Linked DNA regions of Alligator mississippiensis. The protein of the gene in region 2 binds, or shares a complex with, the protein of the main gene of each other region. Links are inferred from orthologs where the notes say so. Each region holds a gene or a part of one and is shown on either strand. Other genes may lie near its edges. The genes, in order: CD40LG and CD40.

Evidence for each region.
Region 1: the proteins of CD40 (region 2) and CD40LG are in contact, whole or in part, in a crystal structure (PDB 3QD6), measured with the Homo sapiens proteins. The link is inferred for Alligator mississippiensis from reciprocal best matches to the Homo sapiens genes CD40 and CD40LG. Residues at the interface, in NP_001241.1 of Homo sapiens: Glu64, Ser65, Glu66, His76, Cys77, Gln79, Tyr82, Asp84, Asn86, Leu87, Trp109, Cys119; in NP_000065.1 of Homo sapiens: Ile127, Glu129, Ala130, Lys143, Gly144, Tyr145, Tyr146, Cys178, Pro217, Cys218, Gln220, Ser245, Gln246, Ser248, His249, Gly250, Thr251, Gly252.

Annotation. Positions count from the first base shown.
Region 1 is NC_081831.1:79,828,382-79,836,580, reverse strand, and holds the start of CD40LG (CD40 ligand), read left to right. Parts: upstream 1-5,117; 5' UTR 5,118-5,160; coding exon 5,161-5,316; intron 5,317-7,643; coding exon 7,644-7,781; intron 7,782-8,199. UniProt on the Homo sapiens protein: Cytokine that acts as a ligand to CD40/TNFRSF5. Costimulates T-cell proliferation and cytokine production.
Region 2 is NC_081832.1:490,650-498,312, forward strand, and holds the start of CD40 (tumor necrosis factor receptor superfamily member 5), read right to left. Parts: upstream 3,109-7,663; 5' UTR 2,914-3,108; coding exon 2,857-2,913; intron 1,266-2,856; coding exon 1,184-1,265; intron 948-1,183; coding exon 819-947; intron 678-818; coding exon 531-677; intron 218-530; coding exon 124-217; intron 1-123.

The DNA.
Region 1 (8,199 bases), on a different chromosome or scaffold from region 2:
TGTATGTGTGCTGTGGATTCCTTCTCCCAAGGTGCAGCACCCTGCATTTGTCTGCGTTGAACCCCATCCTATTCTCATCTGCCCACTTTTGTAGTCTGTCTAAATCTAGTTGCAGTCTGCCTAAATCTAGTTACATCTCCCTCAGCACCCAGATGACTGCATCCTCCATATGTGGGGTAGATGGGGCAGCACACAGTATGGGCTTTGGCTTTCTTCAAGGCCTTGAAATTATAGCTGCTCATTCCCATCAGTGCCTTGATCCTATCCCACGCTGGCCTAGGCAGTTGAATGCTCTGGCTGGGCTTAGTGGTACTGAGCGACAGTGCTGGGCATCAACAACAGTCTCTCTTTCTCAATTCTCCCAGCAGCCCCAAATGTACCACTTGGACATGGGGAACAAGAGAGCTCTCTGAGATGGAAGCAACAGCTGTCAAGCACTGCTCAGCAAAAAAACCAACAGGGTTTTCTTAGGACGGCTGTGCCCACCCACATCAAAGTTCGCACATGAGTCAACAGCCCTTCCCAGTCAGTGGCATCGAAGGCTTCTGACGGAGCCCAGAGTATTGACGCTGTTCCCAATTCAGCCATAGCAGTTGAAAGGCCTTGCCCAAGCTAGTACCCAGAGTCATAGTGGGGCTGAGAGATCCAAGGCCCCACAGCATTCAGAGTTGTCTTGACATCAGCTTTCCTACACACTTAGCCAAATGAGTTGCAAGGTGATGAGCAGAGGGATGGCTGATGGGAAGTGATGCTTTCTGGAGCAGTGGCTGCACAGATACATCCCCAAGGGGGCACTGACAAGCCTCTATCGGTGGCCCCAACCTCATATCATCCTTTAGATGTCATTGTTCAAAGTGACTTGAAGCCAAGACTTTCAATAGCGACTAGGGTTTCCCATTCAAGATGTCTGAGAAAGGGGCCCAGTTCTCAGAATGGGCTGAACACTTGTCCTTGCTAGCTGAGTTCCCTTTGAGGTGTTTCAAGAGGGACAATCAAAATCTGAGGCCGTCCCAGACACCTGGTTCACATCTTCAGCCTTTTGAACACGGTTCTAGAAGATACTGTCTCCTCCTGCCTCTCCACTCCCTTGAAGGTTGCATGTTAAACAGGCCCCCAGTGTTTTAAGGGTTTCCGGTGTTAGTCAAAAGTTCTGCTCATTTCGGTGAAATAGTTGCTAAGTAGCACTCCAGAAGCAGCTTTCATTTGCAAGTGACAGCCAGGGTTTAGGAATATCTATGCAAAAACCTCAGTGGCTGCTCTTTACAAAACTCATCACTGTGGTTTCACACCTTGTAGACTTAGCTCAGCCTTGACACTGCAGGATTCGGGGAAAGTATTAAGTAATGACTGAAGGTAGCAATTTTTTTTTCTCGTTTTTAAAGAGTTGCCCTCAATACAAGTGTTCACTTCAGAGGAAACTTTGAAGAAGTTGGGGAAATGTGGGTTCTTATCAAATGGTGGAGTCATGGGGTCAGGAATTAGAAACACATTGGTGTGATTTCTGGATCCATCCTGGTGCCTGTCTACACTGCCTCCCGCTAGGGAATGCCACCAAGAAACATGCTCTCCCTGCTTCACCCATGCCAAATGCTACCCACCTGTCATTGAACGATTGTAAGTGTCGGGTGCAAACTAGCTGGGGGTGGGAGAGGCATTGAGCATGCAGTGGGCCATGATAGCAGCTATGGTACATTTTTTCTGGCATCACACGTGGAGCAAGAGCTAGAGGGAGGGGCATGGTCTCATGCTGATGCTTCCTAGCCTGGTCAAAAGGCAGTGAAGACATGCCCACAAGCTTCCTCCGTGACATGTCACTTTATCTTGCCATGTCCCCACTTCCCACCAGCGGAGAAAGCTCTTTTTGTCTCTTAGGCCTGTCTAAATAGTTAACTTCTTGGGCTTGAGAGTGCCTCTAGACTAGATACGAATCCTCAAGTTTTGGAACAAGTCTTTGCAGAGCGCCTAGATCTGCACTGGTAAAGGGGTTAATTAAGTAAAAAAGGATCATAAATGCTGGTCAGGGAGTACCCTCAATGTATGTGTGTGTGTGCATACACTGATTAGGAAGATGGGCCCCTGAACCCCCACTGAGCAACATCGCATGGAAGGCAATGGGAGTCTCTTTCTACTGACTCCAGAAGTCTATGCATCAGGCAGTCTATTTTCTGTCATCATGGTAATAATGATGGTATTTGCCATTCTGTGATATATAAAACTAACAACAGTCCCTTCCCCGAAACATCAGTGGACCAGACCAGGGACATAGAGAAAACAGGATGTTCTGGGGAATCCAGAGGCGGAGGTGACCCGGGACTGAGGGCGTGGAGGAGCCTTTTTGCCTCCTATCAATTTTTCAACCTCACTTCCTGCAGCCCTCGCAGAGGACAGTGTTGTTCAAGAGGCTCTCGTGTGAAGAATGGGCTGGGGCTTGACTAATAAGGGCAGTGAGGTAATTATTTTCACATAGAAATAGCAAAGAAGATACCCTTGTCAGGTTGCTTGTGTGCAAAAGAATCGTGAAATGGAGCTGGTCACTACAAAAAGAGGCTGTTGTGATATTTAGGTTAACATCACCCATGATCACTCACTACAAGTGCTGTATATGTGCGTTATAAGGGGCAGCCCCTACCCTAAAGATGTGATCTAGAGAGATAAGATGGACAAAAGAAGGATAGTCATTTCTACTTACTAGTTGGAGGGGGATGTCCTAAGACAAAGAACTTGCCCAGGGAAACTGGCAGAGTTCCTGAGTCCCAGCCCTATGCTTTAACCACACAGCCTTCCTGCCTTGTATTTTATTCTGTCAATATTAAGACTTCTGGCACTATTGGTGCACCTTGTTTTGCAGTACTAAATTTAGGAGCAGAGTGGTTTGGTGAGCTGCCCAAGGTCAGAGGCAGAGTTGGTGGCAGAGGTGTTTGTGCTTGTTACCAGCATTTGCTTTTGCAGCTAACAACTCTGAACCACACAGGACAGGATGCTGGAGAGTGGGTGTAGAGCTGAAACAAACTTCAGGCCCATCCTGCAAAGTGCTGAGCATTCCCTGCAAGGTACTGAGCATCTTTTACCCCCAGGGCCCTCAGGCAGAGTGGAGCAGAGCTCAGTTTGCTGCTGGCACCACTGATGCTCACACAGGATCTGACTCTTTTAGCTGAAGTGCAAAAGTCTGATAAATTTATAACATTTAACATAGTCTTTGTAAAACAATTTTAACAAAGACCAAACCCTCTGATTTACATTGTAGACAGCAGGTTCCCATGTTACAGCTAAGAGGACTTGGCTGTTTGCAACAGGTGCTCTTTATCTCTCTGGACCAGAGCCCCCACACCAATTATGAATATTGGGGACTTTGCTGGATTAGGCCAATGTTACTACCGTGGTGCCCAGAACCTGGCTGAACCCAGAGTCCCAGTGTGCTGGATGTTGTGCAGACAAGCAGGAGGAGGCTGCCTCTGCCTTCAGGAGCTTACAGTCTGATTTGACAAGCCAGGTGAAGGAAGGGTTTGTTACCCAATGTTACAATTGGGCATCAGAAGCATGGAGAGGTTTGAACCCCCTTGCCCAGGATTGGGTAGGAAGTGCACGGCAGAAATAAATGCAGATTTCCCAAGTCCCCGGCTAGTGCGTTAATTGCTAGAGTTCCCGTGCCTGCCAGGAATGACAGGCTTGGCTTTCTCCCTAAGAGGATCAGGCAGTGGACACAAAAATCTGTGCTGTGCAGCAGCCTGTCTGTATCAGTGAAGACAGACAGCTTTGGGGTGAAGAGCATGGTCAGTGAGAATACAACTGCACAAGACAGCTGGCCAAGATCCCCTGTTCTTCCCACCCTTTTTGGCCAACCCAAGCATAGTGCCTGGGGAGTTTTGCCTGAGCAAGGATTACGGGTTATGCCTCTTGGATCATTGCTTATTTGGGGCTGACTTTCAATGGACTTTCTCTTTTTAAGGACACATTTCATTGCATTTAGCCAGTATGTGCCAGTGGAAGCAGCTTGGGACATCATGGTGCAGTTCAGAAGGCTCAAAGAAAGCTATCTTGAAAAGCAAATAATGGGGAGGAGGTGAAAGCCCCCCCGCTACTGTTATAGTTCTGGTAGCATCAAAAAGCCCCAACAAAGTTGGGGGCCCCACTGGGCCAGCTACCAAAAGAGCTGGTCCCTTTCCCAAGGTGCTTACGTTCTCAAATTCCCTTTCTCAAAAGTGCTTACATTAGACAAAAGGAGTATCACCATCCCCTTTGTACATGTAGTGAAATGAGTTGTAGAGACATTATGTGGCTTGTCCAAAGTCACGCAAGGAGTAGGCAATAAAGCCCAGAACTGCACTTCAAATCAAGTCAGTCCTGAGGCTGCTGTGACCATCAGGGCACCTTAGCTGCTGTGCATCATTGGTGATTCTTTGGGCAAAGTGAACTGGTCTTTATGCATGGATGGCCATTGGTTCACAGGGGGCTCATCTGCCCTTTGAAAGGTCTTGCTTTTAGCTCACGTACCCTCCTCACCCAGGCTAGCCTAGGTTGGTGTGCCAGTTTAGTCACTGACAACCTGACCATGGAACCAGCTGTGCTGGTTTACATGGGACCAGACAGCAGGCCAAGAGAGGCCTGGCCTGGCAGAACTGCACTTGTTTCTCTTGATTTCTAGTTTTTGTCGTAACTACAAACCCATCCTTCCTCTCTCAGGAAAACAATGAGTTAACGAAGGCTCTTTTCCCTTGTTCTGAAACAATTAGTGTTTGACTGTTTCCAACCCTTTTACCACCTTCACTGAAATTCAATCACTTTACTCATGGATTTGTTTCCCTCATTTCTTTGAAGTCATCAGCCGTGAAATGTTTGTCCGCGAAAGGAAAAAAAAGGGGTAATGCTCTAGAGTGTTTCGGGGCAAATATGAATACATGGAATAAGAATATTCAACTGACTCTGACAGAACAATAGGAAAAAGCCTGGAAGTGAGCAGCCGAAGAAAGTTTAAGCAACGTTTTTGTTGTGGGAGATGGTAGTGAACAAACCTCCCCACTACGAAGGGTTTTTTCCAGGAAGTGTGGGCTGTGACAATCTTGCATGCTTTAACTATCTTGAGTCGCGTGTTACCAGGGACAGTTCTTATGCTGCTCATGACTACAACTTTTGAAGAGGAAGCCTCAGCAACGTGAATACAGAATGAATGAACCTTATGCCCCAACGACACCTAGACCTACGAGTACCCGCTCATCAATCAGCATGAAAATTTTGATATGCTTTCTTAGTGTATTTATTGTAGCACAGACTATTGGGACTGCACTGTTTTGCTTATATTTTCACATGCAGTTGGACAAGGTAAGATTAGTAGTAGGACTGTGTTAACTGGACCAGTACTAAAATGATTTACTTTCAGCACAGAGAAAACTGTTGAACAAAGATGAATAATGATGCAAAAGCTGTTAATAATTTTCTTATATAGAAGTGGCATGTATTGCATACATTTTCTTGTTTGGGTCTTAATCTGCCACTTGCTGAAGAAAAAAGATATGTTTAAATTATATAAAGTTCACAGACTTGAATATTTGTACAGAAGATATATTTTGCTAATGAATCATGCAATTAATAAAAGAATTCTGGATCAGCAAAGCGAAGTGTAAATTATATCAAAACAAGTGTATTTGATCAGGTTAAATTCAGAGATGACAGAAAGTATTGCGTTCAAGTCAGTGTGAACACCGTGAATGATGATTCCATGCTCTTTGGGAGTAAATGGATACCTTTTAATTTGTGATAGTATTTAAGACCCAGTTGTATTATGATTTATAGTGACACTTAGAAAGAGAGAGTAATGCCAAAAGCGAATTTTTATGTAAAAGTTTTAGAGTCAGTTTCACTTTACAAATCTTTATACATTAAGAAAAAAAGAGTAGACTTATTTTTAAATAGACACAATCCAAATGGTTTTGCCTTATGCTTCTGAGAATGTTTATTAAAGAATTTGAAATGTAAAAGCTGTTTTCAATGTTGCTGTTGCTCCAGTGGTGGATAAGCCATCTAACGCCACCTTATTTAAAACTAAGTTTTACTCAAACAGCAGCGAAGAGATATAGCAGGAAAGCCAATTAAAATATATATAGAATCAAATGTGTTCAACTTAAACAGTGCAAAAGAATGTTTTTCTTAGTGAAATGTAAAAAAATAATCATTTTAGGTTCACATTCATAATTGAAATGTTAATGAGTGTGGAGTATTCAGTTTGCATATATATGAAGTGTAGAACTGGGCTTCAAAAGTGTAAGTGCGAATGGGGTGTTAGCTATAGCTGTGTTGGTCTAAGGATATAGGCAAACAGGTTATTTGGATAAATGTGACATCTTTTATATTATATCTTTTATTAGACCAATAGTTGGTGTTAGAAGATATCACATTTGCCCAAAGAACCTTGTCTGCCTAAGTGCAACTGGGGAATTAGTCTGTGAGAATCACAGTGGTACAACATTCATACTGGTTTGCAAAATCCTTGTTCTCCTCCAGTTGCACCTTTCTGCCATTTGGCGCTACCAGTAGTATATCTATGGGGGTGTCCAGGTCACCATCCCTGGGTGCTGACTGGAGGGGTGAGGGACAAAAAAAGAGCAACTATTGTGCTTCTGGCCTCACTGTTGGCAACTCCATGTGCCATCACCATCTATAGGGCACTAAATAGCCATTACACCTGCAGACACGATTCAAAGTGAGAGCAGGAGTCAAAGTCTGTCCAGTGGATGGAATGACTGGTTACTGCTGCAGCAATAGAAAATGTCACTTTCCCAAAATTAACAGCATCAACTGGTTTGGTTTTAAAGAAGATGATAATTAGAGGTTGTAGGAAGTTTTTGGCTTTTTAAAAATCTGACTCTACCATTTTACTGTGAACAGCCTGACCTGTAGACTCTCCACTGATGCAGACCTTAGGGAACCTGCTTGGTTTTCAACAGTTTTAACCCCATTTTTTTAAATTAAATTTTGTGATTTTTTTGGGACAAAAAAGTTTCAAAATGACAACTCATTAAAGTTTAGTTTCTAAACATTCTAAAGAAATGATAGAGCTTCCATTTTTTCACATTTTCTGTCTGAAGCTATTACCGAATTTGACCGCAGTTCACAACTAATTTCAGTCTCCTCAAAACCATATTTTTTGGCAAATAAACTCTCCACTAAAAAGAATTTGCCCTGTCCTGGTTATGAGCAGCATCTTTGATTTCACTGGGACAAACTAATTAGAGCAGGTACAGATCCACGTGAGTACCGGCCAGAGATCAAGCCTTTAATGACTGGTCCAGATTTCTGAGCCGATATCTGTTGTCAAGGTGATGCATGTCCTACCTTTTCAAAGGGGGGAGGAGTGGAATGTAATGTGAATTAATACTAAAGACCTGACAGTAGGTTTCACTTGTTGTTGCACAGTTCAGGTAGAAATATGTTGTGAGGTTTAGCCTCCCAGATGCGATGTGAGCAAAATTCCCATTGAAGTGCAAGAGAATTTTGTCTGGGTCTGGACGTCAAGTCATCAAGAGATGTGGGATGGGGGGCTTACCCATTTGTGAATTATCATTTCAGAATAAGGTTTGCCTGTTTTCCTTTGTCACCTGGCCACTCTCCCACTAGCATTCCTTTTACCCTTTCTGTCATCTCGCTTGCAGCTGAAAGATGGGATGAGCTTAAATGAAGATTTCTTATTCCTGAGAAGATTACACGAATGTCAGAAACCAGAAGGTGTGGAATCTTCATTACTGGACTGTAAGAAGATTACAGACAGGTTGAAGCATCTGCTAATGAAGGTAAGAGGCTGGGTCTACACAGGTGCACACACCCGTACACAGTCTTACAAGCTTTATTTAAAAAGCAACTTTGGTGTGCTTTTACATCCTAGGCCAGATTTCAGTCTTAGTTAAATGGAAGTTAAATGGAGACTAACTCCTCTGAAGTCAATGGAATTGCTCTTTTGCAACTGTCGCTAGAATCTGGAAGCCTGATCCTGCCAGCACAACCGCTACCAATCACACGGTGGAAACAAAGGTATAAGGAAATCCTTGTTTGCACTGGCGCTCAGGAATTAGCATAACTGAGGGGAAGCAAGCAGGGCAGCAGCCCTGGGTGCCGCTTTTGTAAGGGGGTGCAAAAGCAGCAGTTGCCGCAGCAGTGTGTGATTGCGCAGCTGCATTCAGCACAACGGGAGCTGGTGCTGCCCAGTGTCTG
Region 2 (7,663 bases):
GAGGGAAAGCCAGGGTTTTGCCAGGCGTGTCCCTGCCGGCAAGTGTCTCCGGGCTCCCTCACTCACAGCCACCGCTCCCCTCCCTGGCTGACCTCCCAGCGCCGCACCCCCACCCTGCAGTACCTGCTCCAGGGCTGGCATGGCTTGCTGTCAGAGGTGACATTGGAGAAGCTGCCGTCCGGGCAGGGCTGGCACGTGGGGGGCGCATCCTCCTGGGCTGGAACAGAGCCGAGACGACCGCAGGGGTGAGCGTCAGGCAGGCGGGGGGGCAGGAGAAGGTGTGGGGCACGAACGAGGACACCCCAACCTGTCTGCCAGGCTCCCCCAGAGCAGGTGCAGCATGCATGCCTGCCTGAGCAGGGCCGGCTGCACCCCCTGGGAGGTCCCTGCACCCGCTCTGTGCTTCGGAGCCGATGGCCTGTTCGCCTGCCCCTGCTGGGGCTGCTGTGACCTGGCGGTGGGGAGCCAGGGTTGTGCAGGGCAGCATGGCCCTGTGACCTCTCGGGTTGCAAGTGCCAGGCCGCACTCACCTCTTGGCACAACCCCGAAGCCTGGCTTGCAGCGGGGGTTCAGCTTGCAGGTCTGGCACTGGGCGCTGGTGCAGTGCATGCCCACCTGGCAGCCACATGTGACATCCTGTTTCTCACTCCCCGGCGTCTTTACCACCAGGCCAACATCTGCCAAAGGAAGGGAGGGAGGGAAAGGTGGGCCACGGAGCCAGCCATGGCCAGGCCCCTCCTGTGGCAGGGGCTGCTGGAGCATGGGCAGGGCTGCGTGACTGCTGCCTGCCTGGCAGACAGCCCTGTGCCGGCACCTACTGGGGTCGCAGTATCTGTGGGGCATGCAGTGATTCTCCTTGGTCCAGTGGGCCTGGAAGGACCCCACCTCGCAGGGGGCACAGGTGGACCATTCCAACGCCTCGCTGCATGCAGCCGTCACCTTCTCTCCTGCAACACACAGCACCCGCGTTTGCTTCCTGCCTGGTGCAGCTGCCCATGGAGCCCAGCACCTGCCGTGCCCCCAGCACCCAAGGAGGTGCCACTGGGCACAGGGGGCGAGACCGGCCAGCTCTGCAGGCAGCACCGAGCCCAGGTCCTGGCCCTGGGGCCAAGGTAGCCGAGCTGGTCCCCTCTGGGCCGAGGCTCTGGCGCAGGGAGGGGCAGGGAAGGGATCTGCTCTGTACCTGGGGCGCAGCGGTTGCAGCACCTGCCCTCGTGCACGTACTGCCTCTCACTGCATCGGATGTCCGTCCCAGCGGCCGAGTGCTGGAACCGAGCAGAGCACAGAGCTCAGCCACCGCAGGCCTGGCTCCCACCTGCCCCAGACCTGGCTCCCCTCCCCTGGACGGTGCCGCCTGGCACGGGCCGTGCACCCTGCGCTCGCTCTCACCCTGCCCACATAACCACAACCACTGGGACCGGAGCTCTGCCGCCCCCGCGCCGCCCGCGCCTCCCTGAAGTGGGATGCCAGCGGTTCTGCTGCGGCGGGCACATGTCAGTGCCCTGACCACATCTCCTAGCAGCTGGCGAAGGCAGGGCCCACGCGTGTCTGCCCCGCCTGAGCAGGCAGCCAGGGCAGGGGCAGGGCTGGGAGCCCAGGTGGTGGCTCAGGGCTCAGCCTCCTCCCCTGGCGGCAGTGCTGGGCCCCCGCCTGGCAGGCGGACCTGGGGTGCCCCTTCCCTGGGGTGAAGCTGGGCCAGGCTCCCCCAGCAGTACAGCAGGGGTTGTCGGCAAGCAAACAACCCTCCTGGGCCGGCGGTGCAGCAGATGCCCCTGCAGCTGCCCCTGCCCTGGGGCTCAGCCCTGCCAGGCACCAGGGTCCGGGGCGGCGTGTGCCCTAGCCGGGGTCCATGGGCGGTTCTGTGGGGCTGGGGCTCTGCCCTCAGGGAGGGAACTGCCTGATGGGGCCCCGGGCAGGATGGGACCCTGGGTCACGGTCAATGCCTCCGAAAGGGGAACCGAGAGACGCCTCCGCTTGCCTGGGATCCCCCGCCGCCTACGCGCAGCCCTGTCTGCTTCCACCCCTCCACCCCAGCCCGTGTCCCTTCAGCCCCCGCAGCCTGCCCCTTCTCCACGCTCCTGCCCCGCACGCAGCCCGTGCCCGTGCCCGTGCCCGTGCCCAGCCAGGCTCTGCGGCAGCACGGCTGAGCCCTGTCCCCTGCAGCCTGCTTCGGCCTGGGAGCGAGAGGCAGCCGTGCTGGGGTCTGGCCGTGCTGGGAAATCGAGGGATTCCCAAGCTCCGAGCAGGGCACCGGCACCGGCACCGGCACGCTCCGCTGCCCAGGCAGGGGCCCCCGTGTCGCCAAAGCTGGGCCAGGCGCCTTCCCTGGCCCACGGGAATTGAATGAGACAAATCGGTGCCCTCGCCGGTGCAGGGCAGAGGACCTGGGATGGCCACGGCCCCCCAACGCCTCACTGGCACCCATGGGCCTCCAGGTTGCAAAGGGATCCTGGGGGCCTGCCCAGCTGCCCCGCATGCCCTGAGCCCGTCTCTGCCCCACAGGCATCGAGGTACGGCTGTCCCCGAGGCACGGCCCCTGGGAACGGGGCTCCCCGGTCCAGCCGAACACCAGGCAGTGCCCAGCCAGCGCCGGCTCTCCCCCCGCCCATTCGCCGCGGCCTCTGCGCCAACACCCCTGCCCAGGCAGGCGCCAAGGTCCCCCCTCCCCGCTGCGCCCCGATGGGCCAGGGCTGAGCTGGGGGTCCTAGCAGAGGCTGCCAAGCGGCTCGAAGGCCTCCCTGGCCCGCTCCAGCCCCTGCACCGGCGGCCGGGGGGTGCGTGGAGCCCGGCAGCAGCCTGGCAGCCGGGTCTGGCTCGTGGGTCGCACCTGGGGAGGGAAGAGAAAGTGAAACTCACGCCCAAGAGGCCTCGGCAGAGTAGCCAGAGGAGGCCGAGCAGACAGCAGGGCTCCATGCTGCGAGGGACACTCCTGCGCCGGCGGGGCGGCTACCTCTTGTACTTGCAGTCCCGTGGCCGCCCAGGAAAGGGCTGGGGCTGTCCAGATCCAATCCGCGCTGCAGGGCAGGGCAGGGCAGGGGGGGCCCAGCCCCCGCAGAAAAACTCCCCGTCTGCTTCAGCCAGGGCTGGGCCACGCAGCCCAGCCAGGATTTCCCTTGGCCCCCGGCCAGCGAGGTGGGGTGAGAACAGGCCTCGGCAGGCTGGCAGCCGCAGCACCCATGCGGGGGGACGCGCCGCAGCATCCCTGAGCCGGTCCCGGGTGCAGCCCAGGCACGTCGGGCTGCGTTGGGTGCTGCCACCCCAGTGCGTGCTCTGCTGTGCCGAGCGCCCGGCTGCGGGGCTCGTGGACACAGGCCTGCTCCTCCTGTCTCCCCGGTCTCCTGGCACAGGGAAGTCCGGCAGGACAGCTCCGTGTGCCAGGCAGGCCTGGCCGGGAGCCACGGGGCATGGCCTCCTATAGCTGCTGTGGCCCCCGTGGCCTCCTCCTCCCGCCTGCCCTGCAGGCAGCTGCCCGGCCCCAGCGGTCCCGCGCTCCGCGGGGCCGGCTTGGCCTGCGCTGTGTCCTGAGCTGGGTGCCGGCGCGTGCTCAGCATGGGAGTTTCTCCTTGCCAGGGCAGGGCGGTTCAGGAACAGGCGCCCCGGAGGGGCAGGCACTGGCCTGGCTGCAAGCCGGGGCGTGGCAAGGCCACGACGTGCTTGCCCATGTGAGCAGGGCCTCGTGGCACTGTCCCACAGATCCTTCTGCCCCCCATTTTGCCCCTAGAGCTGTCCAGAGCCCGGGGATGATCCCCTGCCCTCACCAGAGCCTGTGGCTCCCCTGGGCTCCTGGCAGCCCCACATGCCCGTGTCCGGCCGTGTCTGCCCGATCTGGTGGCAGGCGGGCGCCCTCGCATAGCAAGCAGGGGTCCGCACGGGGGCACGAGCAGCCCTGAGGTGTCATAGCATCATAGACTCATAGAAGTCGGGTCGGGCGGGACCTTGTAGATCTTCAGGTCCGACCCCTGCCTGGGCAGGAGAGAAACCGGGCTCAAGTGACCCCAGGCAGGTAGGCATCGAGCCGCTTCTTAAAGACCCCCAGGTAGGAGCCAACACCACTTCCCGTGGAAGTCGGTTCCAGATCCTAGCCGCCCTGACTGAAGTAGTTCCTACAGATGTCTAATCTGAACCTACTCTCCCACGACTTGTGGCCGTTACTCCTTGTTATCCTGGGGGGCGCTCGGAGAAACAGGGTCTCCCCCAAACCCTTCTGGTCCCCCCTAGTGAGTTCATAGACAGTCACCAGGTCCCCCCTCAGCCTTCTCTTGTGGAGGCTGAACAGGTTCAGGTCCCGTCACCTCTCCTCGTAGGGCCTGCCCTGCTGCCCCCGGATCGTGCGGGTGGCCTCCTCTGGACACCCCTTGCTGCCAGTGGAGGTTGGCCAGAGCTGCCACTGGGGATGGTGGGGGCAGTTCTCGGGCTTTTCTAGCCAGTCATCCTGGAAGCAGAAGTGCTGGGTTTCAGTTCAGCTTCTGTCTGGGGACTGCTGCGACATGGGTGACGCTGGGACCAGGGGCTGGGCATTCTCAGGCCGTCAAAGGGGCTGCGTCATCAAGAGCCCCCGCAGGGCTGTTCCTGCCTCCAGGACCCTGGGCACAGAGAGCCAGGACGGGGCGTCCACAGGGCCTGGAGCAGAGGATTCCCCGGGGCCGGGGACCGGGCAGCCCCGGGGGAGTTCCACGCACCGCTGACGAGGAGGCTTTCCCAACCCGCTCCTACTTCCCTCTGCAACTTTCCAGCTTCTCCTGAGAGTGCAAACGCCAGGCAGGAAGGGGCAAAGTGCTGCGCCTGCCTGCCCGTGGGACCCTACGCGGTGCCAGGGCCTGTCAGGCTGGGGGGACCCTTTCCGCTCCGCTCTTGCCCCGCATCCGTGCTTGGGGGGCGAGGGTCGGTCCCCAGCTGCACTCTGCCCAGCCACCCACGCGCGGACGGCAGGCCCAGCAGGAGGGCAGCAGCCTCGCCACCCACCCCCTCCCTCCTCCGGCCACAGACTGCCCACAGACACCCATGCGGCCAGCAGACAGGATGCGACGGGGCTGTCCCTGCCCGGGGCATCAGCGCAATGGCCCCATGCCTTTCACGTGGCTGCAGTGCGCCCGCGGGGCAGTGCCCAGCAGTGCCCGTGTCCCTGGCCCCGCGGCCCGGTGGCTGTGTGAGGGTGAGCCGCGCTCCCCTCGGCGCCGTCCCTCTGCCGGGGCCTGTGGCAGGGCGGCGTGGTGCCCTCCCCCGCCGTGGTGCCTGGCCCCAGCCCCTGCCAGGCGCAGCTGGAGCGAGGCAGGAGGGGAAGGGAGGCTCTGCCGGCTGCGGGCCGCGTCACTTCCCAGAACAGCGTCTCAAGTGCCAAGCAGAGGTCCCAGGGGTGTCTCCAGACCAGAGCGGGAGGGAGGGGCTTTCCGGGCCTGGGCTCGCACCAGGGCCTGGGAAATCCCGCACCGCCCTGCGGCTCGGCTGCCCAGGCAGCCTCTGCCGGCCGGCCGGCCCTCGGCTCCCACGGCCGCCCGGCGCCCGAGGGCCCTTGTGGGGGCTGTTTCCAGCCCGCCAGCACCAGCAGCCCCCCGCTGCGTCGACGTAACCGCCCGCTCCAGCCCCTTCCTGGCAGAGCAGTGCCGGGGCTGGCATCAGGGCCGTCCGTGCCAGGGCACCGACGCAGCGGGCCCCTTGGCTGTCGCTGGCACCACGTGGCCAGCGGCAAAAGCCTCGGCTCCCGGAGTCAGGGGATGCGGGAGGCGCTGTGCAAAGTGCAGCCGCGCAGTGCCTGCGCCCAGCCCCGGGAGCCCGAGAGTTGTCTCGCCTGCGCCCCCCGCACCGGAGCCGCGCGGCTGGGAGCGGGGTCTCGTGGTGCCACCCAGTGGCCATCGCGGGGCGCAGCCGCCACGGACGTGAACTTGGGCGTTTGCAGGCAGGGCCCACGCGAGCCACAGAGCAGGGAGGGGAACTCCCCCGTGCTGTGCCCGCGGCCGCTGTTGCCCTGCCGCGGGGTGGAGAGGGCACAGCTGCCCCCCACGGGGACGTCTGCCACGGACAGTCCAGTGCAGAGCAAGAACATGGCGGAGGCAGGAGTGGCAAGGAGCTGGGGCTGAATCTGGAGCAGGGATTTGATCAGTTTTCCAGGCCCTGAAGGGCTGTGACAGGATGGAGACGGCTCTTCTCTGGGGCCGCAGGGGGCAGGACTAGGAGCAAGGACACAAAGGCTGGCGGGGGCACTCGTGGCGGGGTGGCCGTGGCCCAGGCCCGGGTTACCAGGCTGGCAGGGGTGCTCTGTCTGTCCACCTTCGGAGTCGCGGGCCCAGCCCTCCACGCCACGGGCCGCTCTCCTTCGCGTGGGGAGGCTACAGACTAGCCTCCCAGGCGGGGAGGCAGCGCAGGCGTGGCGCGGGGGTGCAGCTCGCGGGACAGTGGCGGGCCGTGGCCGTGGCCCGGTGGGGGAAAGGGGGTGCTTGGGAGCGGCCCGCAGCAGCCCCTGGGGACTACATGCCCCAGCATGCCCCGGGGCGGGGCCGCTGCCGCACGGGCCGCCGGGAGCCGGAGCGCGCCTGCCATTTTGTCGCGGCCGCCCGGCGTGCGTCATGGCGGGCGGGCCACGTGACCGGGCCGTGCCGTAAAGCGCGGCACTGTCGCGGCCCCGCCCCCTGCCCCGTCCCGTCTCGCTTTCCGGCAGCGGCTGTGGGGGCGGTTGGCGCCTTTGTCCTCGCGGCGGCGGCGGCTCCGGGCCCGGCGGTAAGTGCGGCCGCGGCGGGGCGGGGCGGGGCGGGGCCGGGGGGGCGCGGGCCCCGCGAGTCCTTCGCCAATAAAAGCCTGACAAAGAACCGCGTCCGCGCAGTGTTGCCCTTTCTCGGCCTCCCGCCGCCTCTGCCGGGCCGGGCCGCGCCCGCCCGCCCGCCGCGGGGCTCCCGTGACAGGGTGTCCGGGCCGCGGGGTGTGCGCTGTGCGGCCGCGTCGTGGGGGTCGTGTCGGGACGTCTCGCGGGGGGGGCACTCCCTGCTCGTCCGCGCTGCGCGGAGCGGGCCCCGGTGGGCAGCGGCCCGGCCCGTCTCCTCCGCGCGGCGGCGGCGGCGGGGGGCGAGGAGCCGGACGTGGCGGCCGCCGCCGGAGCCTGCAGGGGCGCTGGTCCCCGCGCGGGGCCGCCGGAGCCCGTCCCCGGGGCGGGGCGGGGCGGGGCCGTGGTGCCGCCGGCGGCGGGCGGGGGGGCGGGCTGGTGTGAGGGGCGGCGGGGCGCGGGGGTCTTGTCCCGCTTGTCCCAGCGCCCTGAGGCGCGCGGGGCCCGGCCCGGGCCGGCGGCGGCGCTGTGGAGCACGGCTCCGTAGCGCGAGCGGGGCCCGGCCTGGCCCGGCCCGGCGGGGCGACACCTCCGGTCCGCGCGGCGGCAGGCCCTGCTCTGCCCCGGGCGGGGTGGAGCGGGGGCGAGGGACGGCGGGTCCCAGGGGCCGCGCACGCTTTGCTCTCTCCTGGGACCTGGTCCTCGTTCGCTGGAGGTCTCGTGACGTTTGCCTTGTTAGACCTGGAAGATGGCTCCTTCCTCTGCTTGTTGCCGCGTTTTCTCCCGTACAGCGCACGCTGCTTCCCTGCGAGAGGAGCCGTGCGCGAAGCAGGGAAGCTGTCGTCTTGGCTGGGAAAGGAGCGCTCCTGCACGCCGTGCCAGCTGCGCGAGTCTCGTGCTGACCCGTAGCCA